4 linked regions of the Arabidopsis thaliana genome follow. The protein of the gene in region 1 binds, or shares a complex with, the protein of each later gene. Each region holds a gene or a part of one and is shown in the gene's direction. Other genes may lie near its edges.

Region 1 (4,714 bases):
TGGAGCTGAGAACAGCGATGGAAACCGGCGCCAAGAAGAAGAAGAAGAAGAAGAAGAGGAGGAGGAGGAGGAGAACGAGAACAATGACGGAAGCGGATTCTCGATCCCGTGGCCGTTTAGCACCTTGTTCTCCTCGTCGCAAGATAGCAATGCACCAACGGATTCTAGTTAAGACATGTTCCCTGAGCAACATAAGCTTTTTGGTGTGATCATGAAATCTCGGTTCTACCTAAATCTGATCTTTTGTCTGTACATAAGTTTCTCAGATTTGGTTGAATGCTACATCTTTGGAAAACAAATATCTTTCAGTTTGTGTTTTTTTAATTGTTTTTGAGCAAATCTTTTGCCGGATTCTGTAAGTCGCTTGTGTGTTTTTTGTTGTCAACCAAAGCCACTTTTGCAACTTAGTTTGTTAAATTAATGCCTTAATGGTAAAATAACAAGATTGGTGGCTGTAGTACGAATTGTGTTGGTAATAAATTATAAATTTAAACATAAAAAGTAATTTAACATTCATCACCTTTGTTGTATGAAATGGAATTGTATAATATTGTATGCCTAATTACTTAGACCGACTCGTTTAATATGTCGTCATCCAAAACAAAATATGATGTCTTTTACTAAACTTAATGAAGTGATGCTTTTTCCTTGTGTTAATCCATGATTGCATTACCATGTAATCTTTTGTTTACGCGTAAACATTAATTAGAATTTATAAAAGCTAGAGTTCACATGTGTAAAATGCGACCAAAGTTACCAACTTTATGCGCTATTAACGAACCTTTTGACATTAACGAACTTAACTTTGATATAGTATATATACTAATATATTAACGTTTCACCAAATCTCCTTGTATATATATAAGTATTGTAGTATCAACTTATTACATTATCTCTCAGATTAGTCATAATCCAAAAGAAGAAGTAATGAATCGTCAGGTTTTATCCCTAATCACTTTGATTATTCTCTTGGTCTCCGCGTACAACACGACTATGGGCCGAACTCTGCCGAGTAAGTGACCGTCTTTGATCATACAAATACAATCACGCATAAACAAAACTCATATTCAGTTCTTAATCTCTTTTTTTATTATTATTATAAATTAAGGGGAAGGAAATGGAGCACAACAATTTGATAATCTAAAAGCTGGTGTCAGACGAAGTGAATCGGCACGTACTCGTCAGAAAGGACCCGGACACTGATGAGTGATGATCTCTAACAAGTTTTAGTTGGCACCTTCATGCAATAATTGATAATCTACTGCTTTGTAATAAGTCCGTCGTTGTGGCGATTCATAGTCTCTACTCGATTCATATTTGTGAACGTGTCTTGAGTTATAGTCTTACATATAGATCCAACAAAAAAACGTATGCTAACACATTCTGTAATAGAACACGTGGCAGACAAAGAGTGGACGGTTCCCTAAAATTCCAGTAAAGACCGTAACATTAAAATCTAATAAGCTGAATTCCCATAATTACCCTCATCCGACAAAGAGAGGCAAGGGTAGTTTAGGAAAGTATATAGAGGTAATAACGTGTCCTTAAGCTCCACAGATCCAAAGCGCAGATCACAAATCTCATCCCCAGAGAGAGAACCCAGAGAGCGATATTGAAAATCAAAACTCTCTCCTTTATATATAATCCCAATTTACAAATCTCTTTCCCTCTCTAAAAATTTCTTATCTTTGTATAAAAAGCCTTCTCCTTTTTCAAATCATTCACCTTCCTTTCGCCTTTTCGGGGGAATTTCTTCCAATCTGTTGGGTTTACGAAACCCTAGATTTCGAAATTCCGGATTGCTAACTAGCGAAAGGTCTGATTTTGTTTCGTACCCTTTGTTCCTAATGGATTCAATTCCACGGATTTTATCTGAATTGAGTTTCTTCGTAGTTGCTTGTTACGAATTGGATCTCATGTTCTGAAGTTGTGTGTTTCATAGCTTTTCGTTGTTTGATTGTGAAACAATGTTTCTAGATTTCAATTATCAAAACTGGTTTTTAGATAACCAGATTTGGTCAATGAAATTGTAAAGCTTGAAAACAATTTTGTTTCGTGGATGCTTGTTGGTTTGGATCGACATGAGTTTCTGTTTTGCCCTATTTAAGACGAGATTTATAGCTGATGTGTGTGTGTTTACGTTGATTCTTATGTTAGAGAATGGCTGATCAAGGAACGGAAGGGAGCCAGCCAGTTGACCTTACTAAACATCCTTCAGGGATTGTTCCTACTCTTCAGTGAGTTCTCTCTTTTGTGTCTCTGTTTTAAGATTCTGAGTTTGTGCTTTTGTGAATCACAAGATCTTACCTTTTTCTTTTTTGGTTTGTTTCAGAAATATTGTCTCAACAGTGAACTTAGACTGCAAGCTTGATCTTAAAGCCATAGCTTTGCAAGCTAGGAATGCTGAATATAACCCCAAGGTTTTGCTTTCTTTGTGATATTCGTGTTTTAGTAATCGATCATTTTGTTTGGTCTCCACCACTTTGGTTTGTATTTTCGGATTTGGTTTTAATCTGTGTTTTATGTTCCAGCGTTTCGCTGCTGTAATCATGAGGATCAGAGAGCCAAAGACCACAGCGTTAATTTTTGCTTCTGGGAAAATGGTATGTTTTCCTTTGTCACTTTTTCTCTTATGGCCTAATCTTCCATGTCCTTGTTTTGACGTGGCATCTATGCTGTCCAATATTAGGTGTGTACCGGAGCTAAAAGTGAACATCTTTCAAAGCTTGCTGCAAGAAAGGTAAACTAGCTCATCTCAATACTGTCTGATGTTCTTCTTCTAGCATCACTGTAGTTAGAAACTTGTTACAGCTCTAGTAGGTATTTGTTCTCTGTTATATTAAAGAATTCCTTTTTGTTGTTCAGTATGCTCGGATTGTTCAAAAGCTTGGCTTTCCTGCAAAGTTCAAGGTACTCATATGTCTCTCTCTGGTCCTGATCCAGCACACACTGTGTTATTCATTTTTATCTCAATCAACAATTCGTGTGTATTTTTATCGGAAGGAAAAATTACGTATAAAGTCTAGTAATAAAATTGCTGATTACATTTTGCAGGATTTTAAGATACAGAACATTGTAGGCTCATGTGATGTCAAATTCCCCATTAGGCTTGAAGGTCTTGCATACTCTCATAGTGCTTTCTCAAGTGTAAGTGATCTCAAGCATTGTGATCATATATACTTGTAACATGGGTGTTAATCGGTCTGATGATTCATACCTCTCTCATCATTGATGCCAGTACGAGCCTGAGCTATTTCCAGGATTGATATATAGGATGAAACTTCCAAAGATTGTACTGCTTATTTTTGTGTCAGGAAAGATTGTTATAACTGGAGCCAAGGTAATAATTGAACTTCTCTCAAATGATTAAAATTGTTTCCATGAAAATGCTTCTGTCATCTTATGAAATCCCGAATCAGATGAGAGAAGAGACTTATACCGCATTTGAGAATATCTACCCAGTTCTTAGAGAATTCAGGAAGGTCCAGCAATAATAGTATGTAAGTTCAACTTTCTTTATCTCCATTTACATTTTATACCCCTTAATCAATCAACAGTTTGATTATGACTATTTCGATTCGAAAGCAGAGCCTACCATATTGAAGGCAAAAACCATGTTCACGTTTGGATTGCCATGAACTAGAGATCTCGGGTGTTGGCAGGCGCTTGGTGGGGTTATATTCCTTGGACAAGAACTTGAAATGATTCAGATTCAAAACCAGAAATTGTAAATAGAGAATGGAGATGCCAATAAATCTCTTTTCTTTTTGTTCTAAAAATGTCTTCCAAGTAATCTTGTTTCATGTTCTGTTTGTTTCAGTGAACAATACCCAATCATTAAAGAGTTACTTAGTTCTTTGCTAACTGTTCTGTAATAAGACACCAAGTCTGTTTGCCCTTTAATATACTCTTTCAAGCAATTTGCCGCTCTGGTTTGTCAAATGTTTGGATCATAAGCTTTCATCTTTCAGTAGATAATAATCTTCGTACACATTAAGTGAGATAGTCCTATTATAACATGTTTTCGTTATCTTGAAATTCATTAAAGTTAATCGGTAGTGTTACATTAGACGAATTGATAACAAAGACATGCGATTACATTAGTCCTAGTGTAAACAGTAAACTACAGATAGTACGGCTAGTAATTCACAGTCGATTTGATTGCATCCAATATCTGCATCAAGCAAGAACACATGATATGTTAGAAACTGCGTTTTGGGTCGGAATAGAGGAATGATAAGAGAAGAGGAACTTGCCTTGTTCTTGGTGGGCATGTAGAATGGTTCAAACACAAGAGGAAATGGAGTATCCAGACCACAAACTCTGCTTACTGGAGCTTCTAACTGCATTTTAAATGACAGTTAAGAAACGGAGAACCAATAAAGAGTAGTCACTTGTAACGGTGATGATTTGAGCTTTCTTTTTACTAACCTTCAAAAAGCAACGTTCCAGAATTGTTGCAGAGATCTCTGCTCCAAAACCTCCTGTTACAGGAGCTTCATGGCTTATCTGCAACCCCAAGCACAAGCAAAAGCAATCTATAAGATCGACCAGACAAATCAAAATCCGAAGTTGTCAATCAAGATTGCTTAAATCTTACAAGAAGTCTGCCAGTCTTTTTAACTGAAGCCTCAACGGTTTCTTTGTCCCAAGGAAGCAGTGTCTTGAGATCTATCAGTTCACATGATATTCCTTCCTGCATCAACTCAAGACC
Region 2 (5,850 bases), on another chromosome or scaffold:
GGTTTATGGGTTGAGTTGAGTTGACCAATAAATTTTGACCCATTGACACCCCTACACATATCAAATAATTTTAACCTATCTAAATTTTTTTTATAAAAATTACTAACTAACATGTCACGAGTTCACGACACATATCAATAAAAATATTAGATGTCTTCATGTATTAAGTCTAAATTTGTTAATACATTTACTGAGAAAATGAAAAAGTTAATAACTCTATATGAAAAAGGAGGTTATATATAAGTAAAAAAGAAATTTGATAATAAATTAAGAAAAAAAAAAACACAATTTGTAACTATATTAGAAAAAAGGTAAAAGTTCCTTATCCTAACAAAAAAGAAATTGTTGATATATTGAACTATTTATCTAATTCTATTGATTGTTTTTTTCCATATATATATTCCCAAGAAAATAAAATAGGGATCCTTTCAATTATATTTACAATTATATAAAAAGTTTGTATTAATTAACCAATAGACGGATAAAAAGTTGGGCCATAGTTTAACAAACAAACTATCTTTATCCAATGAGAAGCCCAAACCGGCCCATTTTAAACATCCTAGTAAAACCCATCTCCCGATCTTAAACCATCGGTTGATACCACCGACACGCGAACAAGACGACGACGCAGCGATGGGAAAAACTTCGGGAGCGAAACAGGCGACTGTGGTGGTCGCAGCGATGGCGTTAGGATGGTTAGCCATAGAGATCGCTTTCAAGCCTTTCCTCGATAAATTCCGCTCCTCAATCGACAAATCTGACCCAACCAAAGACCCCGATGACTTCGACACCGCCGCTACTGCAACCACATCCAAAGAGGGTTTGTAAAATTAGGGTTTTATCAGATTAAAGAGATTTACTGATTTCAATCCATTTCATGTAACTGATGAATCCATGTGTTCTTAATCATAACAGTTTGAGCAATTTCTTTTGAGTCATGATCGTTTATTTGTCATCAATTTTTGGAAAAGTCTGCTATATTGAATCTGTTATTGTAGTTCAATCGCATAACAGAATCATTAATCTAATCAATATTCATACATGATTTGTTACACCGTTTTTCGTATTTTGTATAAAGTTTCGAGCTGTATTATTAAGGTGGAAGAAGAGATTAGGAATCCGATAAGTACTTAAATTGTTTTAAGTTATGATTCGATTATACGTATCTCTTGAAAAGAAGCATGTTAGAGCAAAATATCAAACTTGACAATTACAAGATTGCTTTATAGATAAAGCAGATTAGCTAAATAAGTATAGGGAGACGATAACATGTGGTGATACAAAGATGTGTCAGATTGATTGTTTAACATCATTTAGTTGAGAAAACTTTGGACGACGACTGACTTCATCATATGAGAAAACACCAAGAAAATGTACTACTAGTCTCTAATGGAGAGACTTGGTTATAGAAGTTCATTGTTTAATTTGAATATTTACTCCAATTCAGGAAAATATCAAAACCAGAAAATTACATGAAAATTACTATAGATGGTAGCTTTGCAATGATTATTGTCCGGTTGGATAGTTTCATTGACATTTAGGATTCAGATTATCTCTTTTATCATTATCAGTTTGTTAAGGCAAGAGTTTTCTAATACATGCTTAAGTCCTAATCATCAGATATTTCTTCTTCAAACCTTTTTTGTTTTGTTTTGATAATTTGCCCCATTTTGTACTCTAGGTTTTTCCACAAAGATCCCAAACAGAGATTAAAAGATGACAATGGCATGGACCTTTCAATGCTTTGTTTTTTTGTTAAATTAGATATAAACCTTTCCAAACAGTAAATTATCAAATTCATTAACAAGTATCTATATCTCTCTAGTAGAGGTAGACCACAACTTAAAAATCTCCTCAAGTCATGGTGGGTCTAACTTGTAGGACTTATATGGGCCAAATTGTATAACTATATCATGTTAAGCTGAAACTGAAAGTAATTGGTTCCTTTTAAAAGCTTAGCCAAAAAAACTTCAAAATGTCTGAGTCAAATGTAGGTTGATTTCTCTGCAATTTCCATGAAAGATAGATAGATAAACTCTTACCAAAGTTTCTGCATATCAAAAGTTGTCAATTTATGCTCAAGTCTAAACCATTCCGATTACATAGGATCACATGCTTTGATTCGCATTTTCTTCTACTATATATTTACATATTTTTTTGTCCTCTACACACAATGATTAAAAAATGAGAATGGACCTACCTTTCACAGCATTTCTTTATTATTATTTTATAAAACCAGTACAATTTTACTAAATTATGATGTTAAAGTAAGAGACTTTGAAGAAGACGACTTAGCAAAGACCAAAACCAAGAAATTACATAGGAACAAGCCAAGAAGATACATAGATAATTTCTTTTTGCTTGTAATATATTTACAACTTCATAAACATCATCGTTCTGCAACTCTCTACTCGATATCCAATCATGGACGATTGTCGATTCGAGACGAGTGAGTTGCAAGCTTCGGTAATGATATCGACTCCTTTATTTACCGATTCTTGGAGTTCATGCAACACCGCAAATTGCAACGGGAGTATAAAGATCCATGACATCGCCGGGATTACATACGTTGCTATACCGGCGGTATCGATGATTCAGTTGGGGAATCTTGTGGGCTTGCCAGTCACCGGAGATGTTCTTTTCCCCGGCTTATCCTCCGATGAACCTCTACCTATGGTCGACGCTGCCATACTCAAACTCTTTCTTCAGTTAAAGGTTTGTTTTCTCTTCCTCTGTTTTTTTTTCTTTCTATTGGATGCAATTTAACCTATTTATTATCTTCAAGGCATGTGGATATTTGAATTTCAATTAATAATACCTCGAGAGAAAAATACAAAAATCATTAAATGCTAATATGGGAAATTATTTCACAAAGGATTTTAAAAAAAAACAAAATTCTATCATAAGTTTTATTCGTTTGGATTTGCGAAAACGAATTTTACCTATTAAAGTTACTATTTTTTTTACGTATTTTAGTACTTTTTAGTAGAACTGATGATCATTACTATTTTTTATTTAAATATCTCTGTCCTCTGAATTTTGATGAATTATAATCCAAATGGAGGTTTTTTTTGTCCTTTTAAAAGATTATTATAAACTATCACCACCACCTACCCCAATAGGCAATAGACAATAGATAATAAATAAAAATTATTTTCTTGTAAGAAATTCTAAAAAGATTCGTGGACACAATTATTCCAAATCCACCATTTGGAATATGTCATTGTCGCGACCTTTGGATATCATAAGCAAGTCAATTGAAAGTTTGGTTTGTATGCCATCACGTCCGTCCGCCCAAGTGATTTAAAAAATTTACTAATTAGTGAGTGAAACGTCATTGGTATTTTTGACACCAAAAAAAACAAAAAATGTTAATGGAATTGGTAGCTTTACGCTTTATGCTTTAACACACCTCGGCGAAGTTTATAAATGTGCGCTCAAAAAGTTTTTAACCCATGATTATTGTGTCACCATCATGTATTTTATTCCCTTTTTCGTCGAATACTTTTAGTTTTTGTTTTGTCTCTAAGGATATGAAAATCTTGAACAAAAACAAGTTCCTATTGGTTTTGATGAGTAGAAAAAACAAGAAGTGACCATTAATGTAGATATAAGTTGTAAAAATGGTAAGTCTAGAGAGGTGTCTTAACTGATTTTTATTCAAATTTGGTTAAACCAAGTAATTGGCAAATTTAGTCTCTAAATCAGTTTACATTATTAGAGGAAATTGTACACTCAGAAGGAAGGTAATCTATAATCAGTTTTGTTCTTGTTAGTCAACCAATTTACAGTAACGTCGACTGCATTAACGTGCAGATCAAGGAAGGATTGGAATTGGAATTGTTAGGTAAAAAGCTGGTGGTGATAACCGGCCATTCAACCGGCGGCGCATTGGCCGCTTTCACCGCACTTTGGCTTCTATCTCAATCTTCTCCGCCGTCATTCCGCGTCTTTTGTATCACCTTTGGCTCTCCTCTGCTCGGAAACCAATCTCTCTCCACCTCAATTTCACGATCACGTTTAGCACACAACTTCTGCCACGTGGTCTCCATCCACGACCTCGTTCCTAGAAGCAGCAATGAACAATTCTGGCCCTTTGGAACTTACTTGTTCTGTTCCGACAAAGGAGGTGTCTGTCTAGACAACGCTGGTTCTGTTCGTCTGATGTTTAATATCCTCAACACCACAGCAACTCAAAACACCGAGGAACATCAGAGGTACGGACACTATGTGTTCACACTTTCACACATGTTTCTTAAATCTAGAAGCTTTCTTGGTGGGAGTATCCCCGACAATAGCTACCAAGCTGGTGTTGCGTTAGCCGTTGAAGCTCTAGGTTTCTCTAACGATGACACAAGTGGCGTTTTAGTCAAAGAATGTATAGAAACAGCTACAAGAATTGTTCGGGCTCCTATTCTGAGGTCAGCTGAGTTAGCCAATGAGCTTGCTAGTGTCTTGCCAGCAAGACTCGAGATTCAATGGTACAAAGATCGTTGCGATGCATCAGAAGAGCAGCTAGGTTACTACGATTTCTTCAAACGATATTCGTTGAAGAGAGACTTTAAAGTGAACATGAGTCGCATAAGACTAGCTAAGTTTTGGGACACAGTGATTAAAATGGTGGAGACGAATGAGTTACCTTTTGATTTTCATTTAGGAAAGAAATGGATTTACGCATCTCAATTTTATCAACTCTTAGCCGAGCCACTCGACATTGCGAATTTCTACAAAAACAGAGATATAAAGACTGGCGGGCATTACTTGGAGGGGAATAGACCTAAAAGGTATGAGGTGATTGATAAATGGCAGAAAGGAGTTAAAGTGCCTGAGGAGTGTGTGAGAAGCAGATACGCGAGCACAACGCAAGATACTTGCTTTTGGGCTAAGCTTGAGCAAGCAAAAGAGTGGTTGGATGAGGCGAGAAAAGAGAGTAGTGATCCCCAGAGGAGATCTTTGTTACGGGAAAAGATTGTTCCATTCGAGAGTTATGCGAATACATTGGTGACGAAGAAGGAGGTTTCTTTGGATGTTAAAGCGAAGAACTCGAGTTATAGTGTGTGGGAGGCGAATCTGAAAGAGTTCAAGTGCAAAATGGGTTATGAAAATGAAATTGAGATGGTTGTTGATGAGAGTGACGCAATGGAGACTTAGTAGGACTAATAGCAAATCGAATGTTTGATATGCTATATAACAATCTGTATCATTGTTGTTCATCATGTTTATGCAAGACTTTCTGATGAATGTTACTATATATTCTAAAACAAAATTTATCGTCAATGTTCAACAAGTTTTGCAAGAGTTTCTTTTTTTGTGCAATGTGCAAAGAGTTTCTCATGTAGAGCTATTGCTCTCTTTTTTTTTTTTTTGGTGAGAAGTAAAGCTATTACTCTAAAACCAACATGTAGTGTGATGGTGATCTAATTTCAGGAATTTTAGAATACAAATATATAGAAAAACGTAAGACCTACTACATAGAATTCTTGGAGATTGCCAATATTTACATGATCCAAGAAGCTCTTTATCCCATTCAGATTTTCCTTTCCAATCCCCATTTTTCTGTGGGTTAATAAATCAAATAAATTCAAGTCAAATAAGTAGACAAATAGAGACAGTCCTTGTTCTTCAAAACTTGTGTCTTCTTGTTTCACCTTCTCGTTCTATAGTTTCTATTCACAGATCGTTACGCATACCTTACATACCATTTTCATACTATATACTATTATATAATTATGACTATCTATGATTCGTTATCTACAAGTTCTGATTCTTAACGACTCTGGCCAAATATTCATCGTCCTCTCGCGAATATAATGTGAATAGAAAATGTTGCAATATAGATAACTCATGGTT
Region 3 (5,240 bases), on another chromosome or scaffold:
AGAGAACATCTTGCCTCGTATCGATAGGTATATTCTACTATAATAATCTTAACTATGATCCTTAATTCTTGTTTAGGTCAAGATTATGTAGGACCAAAATTTACCAAATATAGTAGATTTTGTGCATTTATTACTTCAGGAGATGGGGATGATTAGATTTAGAGGGTATTGTTTGTTTAGGAAACTTTTTAAAGTAATCACACTAATTTAGGATTTGTGATAAAGTTACCGTTAAAGGATATGTATTGACTAAATTAAATTGTTGTATAATCACAAGATTTTGTTATGATAGAAAAGGTTATTATATGATTACTTTTTAACTATCATGGGGTTAACTTTGGTGGTGGTTGTATATTTGATCAAGCTGAGATTTGGTGTTTATTTTAGTGGGTCCTAAAATGATTTTTAAAATGGATCTTAGGAATAATAAAATTTATCTTGTGGCCATAAATTTAGAAAAGAATAATCCATCATAAGTTAAGCAAGATCTTCTCTTGAGATTTGATTCTATATAAGCCGGTGACATGTTAGGCCCTCCAAAACTTTATAATATATGTTTTAATTGTTTGGGTTGCATAATCTTAGGTAGGGTCATTTATAAAATCCCAATCCTCGTGATAGACACCTCACATGCCTTTGCTTATTACTAAGGAACCAAACCCTCTTTACCAGATTAAGTTTAATGATTATCATATATGAGCTGGCCATTTTCTGTATCCAAAGTTATAAACTTTATGGAATTAGATCACTAACATTTGGTTCCTTATATTTATTCAGATGTCTTGAAGAAGGAGCTGAAGATTTCTTATTGAAGCCTGTGAAATTAGCTGATGTGAAGAGATTAAGAGATTCTTTAATGAAAGCTGAGGAAAGAGCTTTTAAGAATATTATGCACAAGAGAGAGCTTGAAGCTAATGATATCTACTCGCAGCTAAAACGCGCAAAGATCTGAGTTTATCAGATTCCACGTACGATATGTTCTTTAAAAGCTCAAAGATTCACACACATGCATGTCCTGATTCTTTCGGCTTACAATTTTTGAGACATTACGGCTTCTTTTGCTGATAGAACCAAGACTGATCAAGAGTGACAAAGATGGGTTTTTATAAGATAGAAATGTAAATTGTAGACTTGGATTCATTAGAGAGGAGAAGAGATACATTTTTTTTTTCTTTACATGAGAGATATGTAAAATGGTGGTGTGTTATTTTGGAAGTTAACATATGAATTTCTTTTGTTAAGATTACTTAAATAATGATTTAGGAATGGATTAGTAGTTTAGTACCGTTCATTACACGAAGACAAGCTAATCTTTTGTCTAATTAAAATAAAGCTGTCTACATGAATCGAATCCAGCGAGATAAGTTAGTTATTTTAAGCGTTGGTTGGAACACTTTACATGGCTTTTCGTAGAAATTTCCCCAAGTTGGGTTTTATTAAGACCAAGAAAATTCTAGTCTCCTAGACTTTTTTTTGTTTCTTTTGTTAATTTAGTCTCCTAGGCTTTTTCATTCTATCTGAAAGCAAAATATGGTTATGCAATTTGGTTTAGCCAAAAAAACAAACTAAATTTTTCTAGTCCGGTTCATGTAACTTCATAATCAAACAAGTAAAAGTCGAATGTGACGCGTCTTGCCGAACGCAAAAACGGACCAGGCAAGAAGGTGTAGTTAGTTAATTCGGTTAATATTCAGCTGAGAGAAATCGAACCGGTTCCATATCTTGTAGATTATCCGGTTTACTTTCCGGATAAGATTTATAAGCAAAACAGAGTTAAAGTAGTAGATTTCTTCTATACGAGACCAAATCTGAAAACCCAAGTCAAGCTACAAAAACTTAACTCCAAGCGAACAAATCTCCTCATTCATTAAACAACAAAATTGTTTTCCGACAAAAAAGTGAATATCATTGAGTTACTGCGAAATCCCAACCGAGAGTGACATCTCAAACCAAAAGATGGAGTCTATATTAAAGAGACGAAGACTCCAAAGTCAAGCTACAAAATTTCCAAGCAAAGATTACACAGAGAAAACTTTCCGACCAAATGTGAATGTTTATGAAAGTTTCTGCGAAACTCCAGTCATGTCGGATGTACAAAGCCATACACCAATGTAAAACCGACACGTGGAAAGCTAAGATTCCTAGCTTTTCTTTCTTCATGAGTCTCCAATAGCCAAAGAGTCAACTCCAAAAAAAAAAACCCATTTTTGCATTGAAATGGTCTCATGATGGGGTATTTTGGGTAACTAATTAGTCCTGTCTACATCTTCCCATAAATTAACAGAGTAGGAGCGGATTAAAGAAGCAAGACGATTCAAAAGAAAAAAGAGAGAAGAAAGTCCACTAAAGAAAAGAGAATAGATATAGATCAATGGCGTTTGAAGCTCTTACCGGAATCAATGGTGATCTAATCACCAGATCATGGTCAGCCTCGAAGCAAGCTTACCTAACCGAGCGCTATCACAAGGAAGAAGCAGGAGCAGTCGTAATCTTCGCTTTCCAACCATCTTTCTCAGAGAAAGATTTCTTCGATCCGGACAATAAATCTTCCTTTGGAGAAATCAAGTTGAACCGTGTTCAGTTTCCTTGTATGAGGAAAATCGGTAAAGGTGATGTAGCTACTGTTAACGAAGCTTTCCTCAAGAATCTTGAAGCTATCATTGATCCAAGAACCTCATTTCAAGCTTCTGTAAGAAGATTGAAAACATCCGAATATATTTTTCTTTTTTTTTCTTTTTTGGTCTCTTATGCTTTTACTTCTTCAGGTGGAAATGGCTGTGAGGAGTAGAAAACAGATAGTGTTCACAGGACATTCCTCAGGAGGTGCAACTGCAATCTTAGCAACAGTTTGGTATTTGGAGAAATACTTCATACGCAATCCAAATGTTTACCTTGAGCCTCGTTGTGTGACATTTGGAGCTCCTTTGGTTGGTGACTCTATCTTCAGTCACGCACTTGGGAGAGAAAAATGGAGCCGGTTCTTTGTGAACTTTGTCTCAAGATTCGATATTGTCCCTCGGATTATGCTTGCTCGAAAGGCGTCTGTAGAGGAAACTTTGCCTCATGTTCTTGCCCAATTGGATCCCAGAAAGTCTTCCGTCCAAGAGAGTGAACAGAGAATAACAGAGTTTTACACAAGGGTGATGCGAGACACATCAACTGTTGCAAACCAAGCTGTTTGTGAATTGACTGGAAGCGCAGAGGCGTTTTTAGAGACCCTTTCTAGTTTCCTTGAGCTAAGTCCTTATAGACCCGCCGGTACTTTTGTTTTCTCTACAGAGAAGAGATTGGTTGCAGTGAACAACTCGGACGCCATTCTTCAAATGCTGTTTTACACTTCTCAAGCCAGCGATGAACAAGAATGGTCTCTAATTCCATTTCGAAGTATCAGAGATCATCATAGCTATGAGGAACTGGTACAGTCGATGGGAAAGAAGTTGTTTAATCATTTGGATGGAGAAAACTCAATAGAGTCTACGCTCAATGACCTTGGAGTGGTAAGTCTCTCTCTCTCTCTCTTTTCATACTGTGCAGCTCCATAGCTCCATTCTTGCAATCATTTAAACCCTTCAGAGTGTTTCCTTTTTCTGCAGAGCACAAGAGGCAGACAGTACGTTCAAGCTGCATTAGAGGAAGAGAAGAAACGAGTAGAGAATCAGAAGAAGATTATTCAGGTTTGTGGTTGATAAGCTTGTTCATGAATAATGCAGGTACGTGCTTCGTCTGTTTGTGTCTAACAACATAAAACTTGTTGGTTCTGTGGTTTTTAGGTGATCGAGCAAGAGAGGTTTTTAAAGAAACTAGCATGGATAGAAGATGAATACAAGCCAAAGTGTCAAGCCCATAAAAATGGGTATTATGATTCCTTCAAAGTTTCAAATGAAGAGAATGACTTCAAAGCAAACGTCAAGAGAGCTGAGTTAGCCGGTGTTTTTGACGAGGTGCTTGGTTTAATGAAGAAATGTCAACTTCCAGATGAGTTCGAAGGGGACATAGATTGGATCAAGTTAGCAACTCGATACCGCAGATTAGTTGAGCCTCTTGATATTGCAAACTACCATCGACATTTAAAGAACGAAGACACAGGGCCGTACATGAAAAGAGGAAGACCAACCCGCTACATATATGCTCAGAGAGGCTACGAACATTATATACTGAAGCCAAACGGAATGATTGCAGAAGATGTATTTTGGAACAAGGTAAATGGTCTTAACTTAGGGTTACAGCTAGAAGAAATTCAAGAGACTCTAAAGAATTCGGGATCCGAGTGCGGATCATGCTTTTGGGCTGAGGTTGAAGAACTCAAAGGAAAGCCATACGAGGAAGTTGAGGTAAGAGTTAAGACATTAGAAGGGATGCTTGGAGAATGGATCACAGACGGGGAGGTAGATGATAAGGAAATATTTCTGGAGGGTTCAACGTTTAGAAAGTGGTGGATTACGCTTCCCAAAAATCACAAATCGCATTCTCCTCTGCGAGACTATATGATGGATGAAATAACAGATACCTGAACCTTAGGTGGTGGAGTATTTAAGCTATTAGAACACTTGCTTCTCTTAATTTGTGCAATAAGAAATGTTTATCAATCTGGTTTCCACTTCATGATGATCTTAGAATAAGAAACATGTTGTATGATCATTGTGAAGTAATGTAATAGCTCTCTATTCTAATGTCAAATTTGGTTTCCACTTTACAGTGATCTTAGAATATATACGTTACTCTACTAAAGCCTAAAGCCATCTCAAATAGCATGAACCAGTAACAAACAACCTTCCTTAGATTGAAATGGTCTCATGATGGGGTATTTTGGGTAATTACTCCTGTCTACATCTTCCTACTATATTAACAGAGTAGGAGGACTAAGAATCAAGACGACTCAAAAGAAAAAAGAGAAGAAAGTCCACTCAAGAAAAGAGAAATGGCGTTTGAAGCTCTTACGGGAGTCAACGGTGATCTAGTCACCATATCATGGATGGCGTCGAAGGGAGCTAACCAAACGGAGCACTATCTCAAAGAAGAAGTAGGAGGAACCGTTTTTTTCGCCTTCCGAGCATCTTTCTCGTCGGAAGATTTGTTCGCTACGGAGAATACATCTCCCTTTGGAGAAATAAAGATGAAGCGTAATCAATTTCCTTGTATGAGAAGCATCGGCAACGACGTTGACACTACTGTTAACGAAGCTTTCCTCAAGTCACTTGAAGTTCTCATTGGTCCAAGAACCTCATTTCATGCTTCTGTAA
Region 4 (7,184 bases), on another chromosome or scaffold:
TAGTATTATGAGGCATATATTTCAAAAAAAAGTCGTGATGTAGTTACAAAAATTGATGGAATTCAAGCCACTGGTTTTTAATTAGATTATAAAGCTGAAGGAATGGAATTGTCTCAAATGGCAGATGAAGATGGTACTGTTCATGTCAATGTTTTATAATTTTTTGTTTTTTTTCTTAGGTTGCACGTTTGTGATAAGCTTATTTCATTACTATAACGATTTAATTTCTGAAGAACTATTTGTGTTATTTGTGTTCACAAGAATTTGCTGTCTGGAACAAAGTTTTACAGTGTACCTGAATTGAGTTTTCTTTTATTCGTTTTCGGATTTCACTCTCCACTAGTTGAAAAAGGTCTGAGGCTTTCTAGATTGTTTCAAACTTCGTTAGGAACATGAAAATTTGCATCTAGACAATGCCCTGTGGTATCTGGTAATCAAAATTCTGTTTCTGGTTACTTCGTTTTTACATGGGCAGAAAGTGAATCTCCTACAGGTCTTGCGACACAGTTAGCTTTTGATTTGATAAGCTTACTGTTACTTTAACCCTGTTGACATTTCTCACCTATGTCATTCGTTTGAAAGCTTGTTTTGATTCTCTAATGATATGCTTAACTTTCATTCTCTGATGATTCTTTTGTCTTGCAATTGTTATTGTTCAGGAAAGCTGGAGGAAGTCACTTTGATGACCAATGTTGGTTACGGATCTGACAAGATATTAATGTAAGAATAAGAGGCTATGGACATGGTTTTTACTTGAGTGGTGGCGATTAAGTCCAAATCTAAAAGAGATGATTAAGTCAAGATCCAGCAGAAAAGAGGAAACTTTCGTTAAGGTGTATGACAACAGTGGTGCAATTGCTAATGTTTGTGAATTGGTCTTTTTTCTTATTAGGGATATATAATGAAGCAAGCATGATTGAAGAAATCGCCAAGTCTTAATCGGCTCACGTTAGGTGGTGGAAAGACGACGCATTGCAAAAGTTTTGCAGGCTGACGAAAAAAGAGGAGAATGGAGATCAATTGGAAGAGGTTCTTCTTATTTGATTGGTTAATTTTTCTTTTCTTTCTATATTTAGATATACATGGTGACACCCATTATTGTCCAATTTGTCCCTTTTTTCTGTTTCTTTTGAGACCATGTCTATATATGAGAATTGAGAATCTTACAATTAAATATTTTGAACTAATAAGTCTTTTATTTTGTTTCCAACTCATGTGTTTAACTAAGTCCTAAGCTAACACTAGATTTTTTTTAAAAGAAATTTGGTTTTCCTCCACAGTATTTTTATTGTTTTTTGTGGACTTGACCACAAAACTTCAAAAGACTCGGAAGAAAATTAAACAAATATTATGCACAATTTCGCACCACTCAATGCCTTGCCTCCCCTACCTAAAATGTTGACAATGTCGTCTTATTCTTTATGTCAAGCACGATGATGTGTCTGACTTTAAGTAATTTACATTTTTTAAAAATTCGTGATAGATATTCTCCCAAATTCTTTCAAATATCATAGGCTTTAAGATGTTACCAACTACCAAGTCTCCTAAAAAGACCAAAAAGTCTCCTTAGATATTTATCAAACTCTTTGATGTTTTGTTGCTCGTTCCTTCGTTCACAGTTTCCTGATTTAACAGTGGCCAGTAGGATAATGATTACGTTGCTTCACTTTTCACTGTTACTGTGGAATTGCTTGGTAATTTCGAAAACTTGTATCCTTATTAAGAATTTGTAAAAAGTTTTGCAACTTCGTATTGTACATCTTTATTAAGAATTTGTAAATGAATGATATACAGTAGTAAAGACAAGAGGCTATGAAATATGGTTATGACGATTGAGTCAACAAAGAGGAAACTTCCGCCAAGTAAAAGTCTAAGAAATAATTGTGAAAACTTGTATGGCCAAGTTACCTCTCAGCTGTTATGTTAAATGTTTTATATCCACCAAGACAGACTCACTACTTGTCCTCTATTTCTCTTCTTAAAATCTCAATCTCCAAAGTCTTCGTTTCTAGTTTCCTCCTTCTAACTCTCTCTATGGCTTCTTCATCTTCTTCTCGCAATTGGGTTTATGATGTTTTCTTGAGCTTCAGTGGGAAAGACGTCCGCGTAACATTCCGTAGCCACTTTCTCAAAGAGCTTGATCGGAAACTGATCTCTGCTTTCAGAGACAATGAGATCGAGAGAAGCCACTCTCTTTGGCCCGATCTTGAACAAGCGATCAAGGACTCCAGAATCGCAGTGGTCGTTTTCTCCAAAAACTACGCTTCGTCGAGCTGGTGTCTTAACGAGTTGCTGGAGATTGTGAACTGCAATGATAAAATTATCATACCGGTTTTCTACGGTGTGGATCCTTCCCAAGTGAGGTATCAAATCGGTGAATTTGGAAGTATCTTTGAAAAGACTTGCAAGAGACAAACAGAGGAAGTGAAAAATCAATGGAAGAAAGCGTTGACTGATGTAGCTAATATGCTTGGATTTGATTCTGCCAAATGGTATGATTTTTATACCAAATTCATTATTAGATACATCTTGAAATAAAATTGTTGTTTCATATTTCTTAAATTATCTTTCACCTTATTAGGGATGACGAAGCAAAAATGATTGAAGAAATAGCCAATGATGTTTTGGCTAAACTGCTTTTAACTTCATCCACGGATTCTGCTGAGAACTCTATTGGCATTGAAGATCATATTGCAAATATGAGTGTATTGTTGAAATTGGAAGCTGAGGAAGTGAGAATGGTTGGTATATGGGGTTCCTCGGGGATTGGTAAGACTACCATTGCAAGAGCTCTGTTTAACCAACTTTCTCGGCATTTCCCAGTTAGCAAATTCATAGACAGAGCTTTTGTATATAAGAGTAGAGAAACTTACAAGGGCGCCAATCCGGACGACCCGAACATGAAGTTGCACTTGCAAGGATGTTTCCTATCGGAAATTTTGGGGAAAAAAGACATAAAGATTGATCATTTAGGTGCACTGGGAGAGAGGCTAAAGCACCAGAAAACTCTCATCATCATTGATGATTTGGATGATCTAGTGGTACTAGATTCATTGGTGGGTAAAACTAATTGGTTTGGATGTGGGAGCAGGATCATAGTGATTACCAATAATAAGCAATTCTTAAGGGCCCATGGAATTGATCATATTTACGAAGTTAGTCTCCCTTCTAAAGAGCGCGCTCAAGAGATGTTTTGTCAGTCTGCTTTCGGGGAAAACTCTCCACCTGAAGGTTTTGAGGAGCTCGTAGTTGAAATTGCATGGCTTGCTGGTAGTCTTCCTTTGGGTCTTACTGTTTTTGGTTCAGCTCTACGAGGGAGAAAAAAGGAGTACTGGGTGAAGATGTTGCCAAGGCTTCAAAATGATCTAGATGGCAATATTGAGGAGACATTGAAAGTCAGCTATGATGCGATAGGCAACGTAAAAGATCAAGCGTTATTCCGTCTTATCGCATGTCTTTTCAATCACGTCAAAGTCAGAGACATTGAATTGTTGCTCGCAGATAGTGGCTTAGATGTAAATATTGCACTGGAAAACCTAGTTGATAAGTCCCTTATTCATGTCAGAAATGATCATGTGGAGATGCACCGTTTGCTACAAGAAACGGGTAGAAATATTGTACGCTCACAGTCCACTGACAACCCAGGAGAACGAGAATTTCTGGTGGATTCAAACGATAGTCGTACTGTACTCAGTGAAGGCATTGTAAGTCTTTTTTTTAGTTGTGCTACTTTCAGTATACGAGGTTAAGAAAGTGCCATTTGATGAATCATGAATTGTATGGTTTTGTCTCTATCTCACTAATATCATATTTTTCAGGGTACTCGAAAGGTGCTAGGAATATCATTGGATACAAGTAAGGTTAGTGAGTTTTGTGTACATGAGAATGCCTTCAAAGGGATGGGTAATCTCCTTTTCTTGGATATTTCCTCGAAGACTTTTATAGAAGAAGAAGTCAAAGTGCATTTACCGGAAAAAATAAACTATTATTCCGTTCAACCCAAACAATTGATTTGGGATAGATTTCCACTGAAATGTATGCCTTATACTTTTCTTCGAAACCTCGTCAAGCTCGAAATGCATGACAGCAAGCTAGAGAAGCTGTGGGAAGGAGCTATGGTAAGGTTTAAGAATAAATTGTTAATGCTAATTGTAGTTTTTAAATGACGTGATGTGTAATTTCAACTGAGCTCTGCGTTTATTTTTGTCTGAGTACAGTCATTTACATGTCTAAAGGAATTGGATATGTGGGCATCTAAATACCTGAAAGAAATCCCAGATCTTTCAAAGGCCACTAACATTGAGAAACTTGACTTTGGACATTGCTGGAGTTTGGTGGAGCTTCCTTCCTCTATACGAAATCTCAATAAACTGTTGGAATTGAATATGGAATACTGCGGTGAATTGGAGACTCTTCCTACGGGTTTCAACCTCAAATCCCTGGACTACCTCAATTTCAATGAATGCTGGAAGTTGAGGACTTTTCCTGAATTCGCAACCAACATCTCAAATCTCATTCTGGCAGAAACATCTATTGAAGAATACCCTTCCAATTTGTATTTCAAGAATGTCCGTGAGCTAAGCATGGGGAAAGCGGATAGTGATGAGAATAAATGCCAAGGAGTGAAGGTATATGTAGTTCTCTCCAATATCATGAGAATCCATTATATGTTTTTCTTTTCAAAGTGTAAAGGTAAATCTTGCATTGAGTATTACCAAGTCAATCAACAAACAAAGAATGCAAAATGACAAATGCAAATTTGTTTCGTAATGGAATTTGTTTTAGCTTAGATTAATTAATTGAAAAGTCCCAAACTGTAAATTGTATTATTGGTGATTTTTGTTTAACATCTCTAAATTGTTTATTTGGTTCAGCCCTTCATGCCGATGCTGTCTCCCACTTTGACCCTCTTGGAGCTCTGGAATATCCCAAATTTAGTAGAGCTTTCGTCCTCATTTCAGAATCTCAATAACCTTGAGAGGTTGGACATTTGTTACTGCAGAAATCTGGAGTCTCTACCCACCGGAATCAACCTCGAATCTCTCGTTTCCCTTAATCTCTTTGGATGCTCACGGTTGAAGCGCTTTCCTGATATCTCAACCAACATCAAATATCTCGATCTAGACCAAACTGGGATTGAAGAGGTTCCTTGGCAGATCGAGAACTTCTTTAACCTCACTAAGCTAACTATGAAAGGTTGCCGCGAGCTAAAATGTGTATCCCTAAACATTTTTAAACTCAAACATCTTGGGGAAGTTAGCTTTTCCAATTGCGGGGCATTGACCAGAGTTGATTTGAGTTGCTATCCAAGTGGGGTGGAGATGATGAAGGCAGACAATGCTGACATAGTTTCTGAGGAGACCACCTCTTCTCTTCCTGATAGTTGCGTCCTCAATGTCAATTTCATGGATTGCGTCAATCTGGATCGAGAACCTGTCCTTCACCAACAGTCGATTATTTTCAACTCCATGATATTGCCAGGTGAAGAAGTGCCATCATATTTCACTTACCGAACATCTGACTCTCAACCATTTGGAACGTCTTCCTCTCTGCCCATCCCTCTACTTCCCACACAACTCTCTCAACCATTCTTCAGATTTAGGGTTTGTGCAGTGGTAAGTGCTTCCAATGGAGTATATATCGGGGTATATAGTCGGTTCAAAGGCAGAATTGGGAACAAATTTGATTCCTTTGGTGAGGTACATAATTTCATGGAAATTGAGAAGGGTATTCATCTGTGTATATTTGACTGTCGTATCCGTCTATACAAAGATAATGTTCCTCTATCTCAACTGAACTATGATCATGTGGATATAAATATTCATATAACTAGTGGAGATTGGAGATCTACGGTCGTTTTAAAAGAATGGGGTATACGACTCTTAGAGACCGGTTCATCAGCAGAGAACCGACTTGGTAATCCAAACAGTACTCTTCCACATGTTTCTCAAGCCGAAGAAGGCAATATGGGGTATTATACACATGTTCAAGGACTTGTTAATGAGATTGAAAATAGTGAAGACTCTGGAGATAACAATGTAGAGACTGAGAGAAGCAAGAAGCGCATGCGGGTAAGCATTAAGCATTAATTAAACATAATGACTATTCATCTCTCATTCTTTTTGTATGATTGACGACTGGATTCTTTTGCAGCTACACCACTTCATATGAGTAATATTAAACGGATGGGGTATACGACACTTAGAGGACTGTCATCATCGAAGAACCGACATGGTAATCCAAACACTATGCAGCATGTTTGTGAGGCCGATGAAGACAATGATGGATGCCATTAGACTGATCAGAGCGAAGAGCGAGGATAAGAATAGTGATATAGGCAGGGAGACTGATCATTTTCAAGAGTGCGAAGACAGTAATATAAGCAATGAGAGTAATCAGAGTGAAGAGCGTGGGGATAGTGACGATGATGGTATAGGCAATGTGACTGAACACTTTGAAGAGTGCGAAGTTACTTTTGAATTTCTGATTATCTGGTTATAGACTTTTTATTCAGTTGATCAATTTCACAGCCATCAATGTTGTTCACTGTTTGGTTAAAGACTTTGATATTATATAAATTGTGGGATAATTAGATTGTTAGTATTATTTCAAAAACAAGTCATGATGGAATTCAAGCCATTGGTTTTTAATTACAATAAGCTGAATGAACATAATTTTCTCAAATGGCAGATGAAGATGTTGATGTTCATGTGAATGTTTTAAAATGTTTTGTTTCTTTTCTGTGGTTGCACGTTTGTGATAAGCTTATTTCATTACTATCACGATTCCTTTAATTTCTGTCAGGCACAAAGTTTTAAAGTGGACCTGAATTAAGTTTTTGATGTATAATAGTTCTCTTTTGTTTATGGAGAGACAACGAACGACTGACTTGCTTTGTAGCCACACCTGCAAAGTTTTTAGGCATCTTTCAAAGTCCATAAACCAACTTAGTCTAGTTCCGAATAATCTTTAACACAAAGCGTCACAATTGTTTCAAATGCAAGTCGTGTTGTGGATACAAAAAAACTGATGGAATTCACGCAAATGGTTTTAACAAAATGAAGATTTCTCAAAATTGGCAGATGGAATTCATTTATTTGTTTTCAAGTACTCTGTTTCTTTCTTAGCTTGCACATTTGTTTTGAGCTTATGTCATTACTATTACAATTTAATTTCTGAATCCT

What was found.
Region 2: TBP2 (region 1) and PAD4 share a complex: the UniProt entries of both Arabidopsis thaliana proteins name them as parts of the nuclear protein complex.
Region 3: TBP2 (region 1) and EDS1 share a complex: the UniProt entries of both Arabidopsis thaliana proteins name them as parts of the nuclear protein complex.
Region 4: TBP2 (region 1) and AT5G46520 share a complex: the UniProt entries of both Arabidopsis thaliana proteins name them as parts of the nuclear protein complex.

Annotation. Positions count from the first base shown.
Region 1 is NC_003070.9:20,724,930-20,729,643, reverse strand, and holds TBP2 (TATA binding protein 2), read left to right. Parts: upstream 1-1,552; 5' UTR 1,553-1,816; intron 1,817-2,157; 5' UTR 2,158-2,160; coding exon 2,161-2,237; intron 2,238-2,332; coding exon 2,333-2,420; intron 2,421-2,531; coding exon 2,532-2,603; intron 2,604-2,689; coding exon 2,690-2,740; intron 2,741-2,865; coding exon 2,866-2,910; intron 2,911-3,054; coding exon 3,055-3,147; intron 3,148-3,238; coding exon 3,239-3,340; coding exon of another isoform or gene 3,341-3,370; exon of another isoform or gene 3,371-3,419; coding exon 3,420-3,494; 3' UTR 3,495-3,500; exon of another isoform or gene 3,501-3,588; 3' UTR 3,589-4,138; downstream 4,139-4,714. Other genes in the region: AT1G55530 (RING/U-box superfamily protein), read left to right, coding at 1-172; BCDH BETA1 (branched-chain alpha-keto acid decarboxylase E1 beta subunit), read right to left, coding at 4,139-4,174, 4,257-4,343, 4,432-4,509, 4,601-4,696. UniProt on the Arabidopsis thaliana protein: General transcription factor (GTF) that functions at the core of the DNA-binding multiprotein factor TFIID.
Region 2 is NC_003074.8:19,429,142-19,434,991, forward strand, and holds PAD4 (alpha/beta-Hydrolases superfamily protein), read left to right. Parts: upstream 1-1,953; 5' UTR 1,954-2,424; coding exon 2,425-2,715; intron 2,716-3,816; coding exon 3,817-5,151; 3' UTR 5,152-5,309; downstream 5,310-5,850. Other genes in the region: OEP7 (outer envelope membrane protein 7), read left to right, coding at 634-828.
Region 3 is NC_003074.8:17,754,824-17,760,063, reverse strand, and holds EDS1 (alpha/beta-Hydrolases superfamily protein), read left to right. Parts: upstream 1-1,916; 5' UTR 1,917-2,371; coding exon 2,372-2,689; intron 2,690-2,765; coding exon 2,766-3,497; intron 3,498-3,593; coding exon 3,594-3,674; intron 3,675-3,770; coding exon 3,771-4,511; 3' UTR 4,512-4,735; downstream 4,736-5,240. Other genes in the region: RR5 (response regulator 5), read left to right, coding at 1-27, 778-952; AT3G48080 (alpha/beta-Hydrolases superfamily protein), read left to right, coding at 4,919-5,236. UniProt on the Arabidopsis thaliana protein: Positive regulator of basal resistance and of effector-triggered immunity specifically mediated by TIR-NB-LRR (TNL) resistance proteins.
Region 4 is NC_003076.8:18,865,806-18,872,989, forward strand, and holds AT5G46520 (Disease resistance protein (TIR-NBS-LRR class) family), read left to right. Parts: upstream 1-1,810; 5' UTR 1,811-1,920; coding exon 1,921-2,492; intron 2,493-2,581; coding exon 2,582-3,704; intron 3,705-3,818; coding exon 3,819-4,118; intron 4,119-4,217; coding exon 4,218-4,628; intron 4,629-4,874; coding exon 4,875-6,071; intron 6,072-6,153; coding exon 6,154-6,171; 3' UTR 6,172-6,663; downstream 6,664-7,184. UniProt on the Arabidopsis thaliana protein: Disease resistance protein of the TIR-NB-LRR-type. Part of the RPS6 locus that contains a cluster of several paralogous disease resistance (R) genes.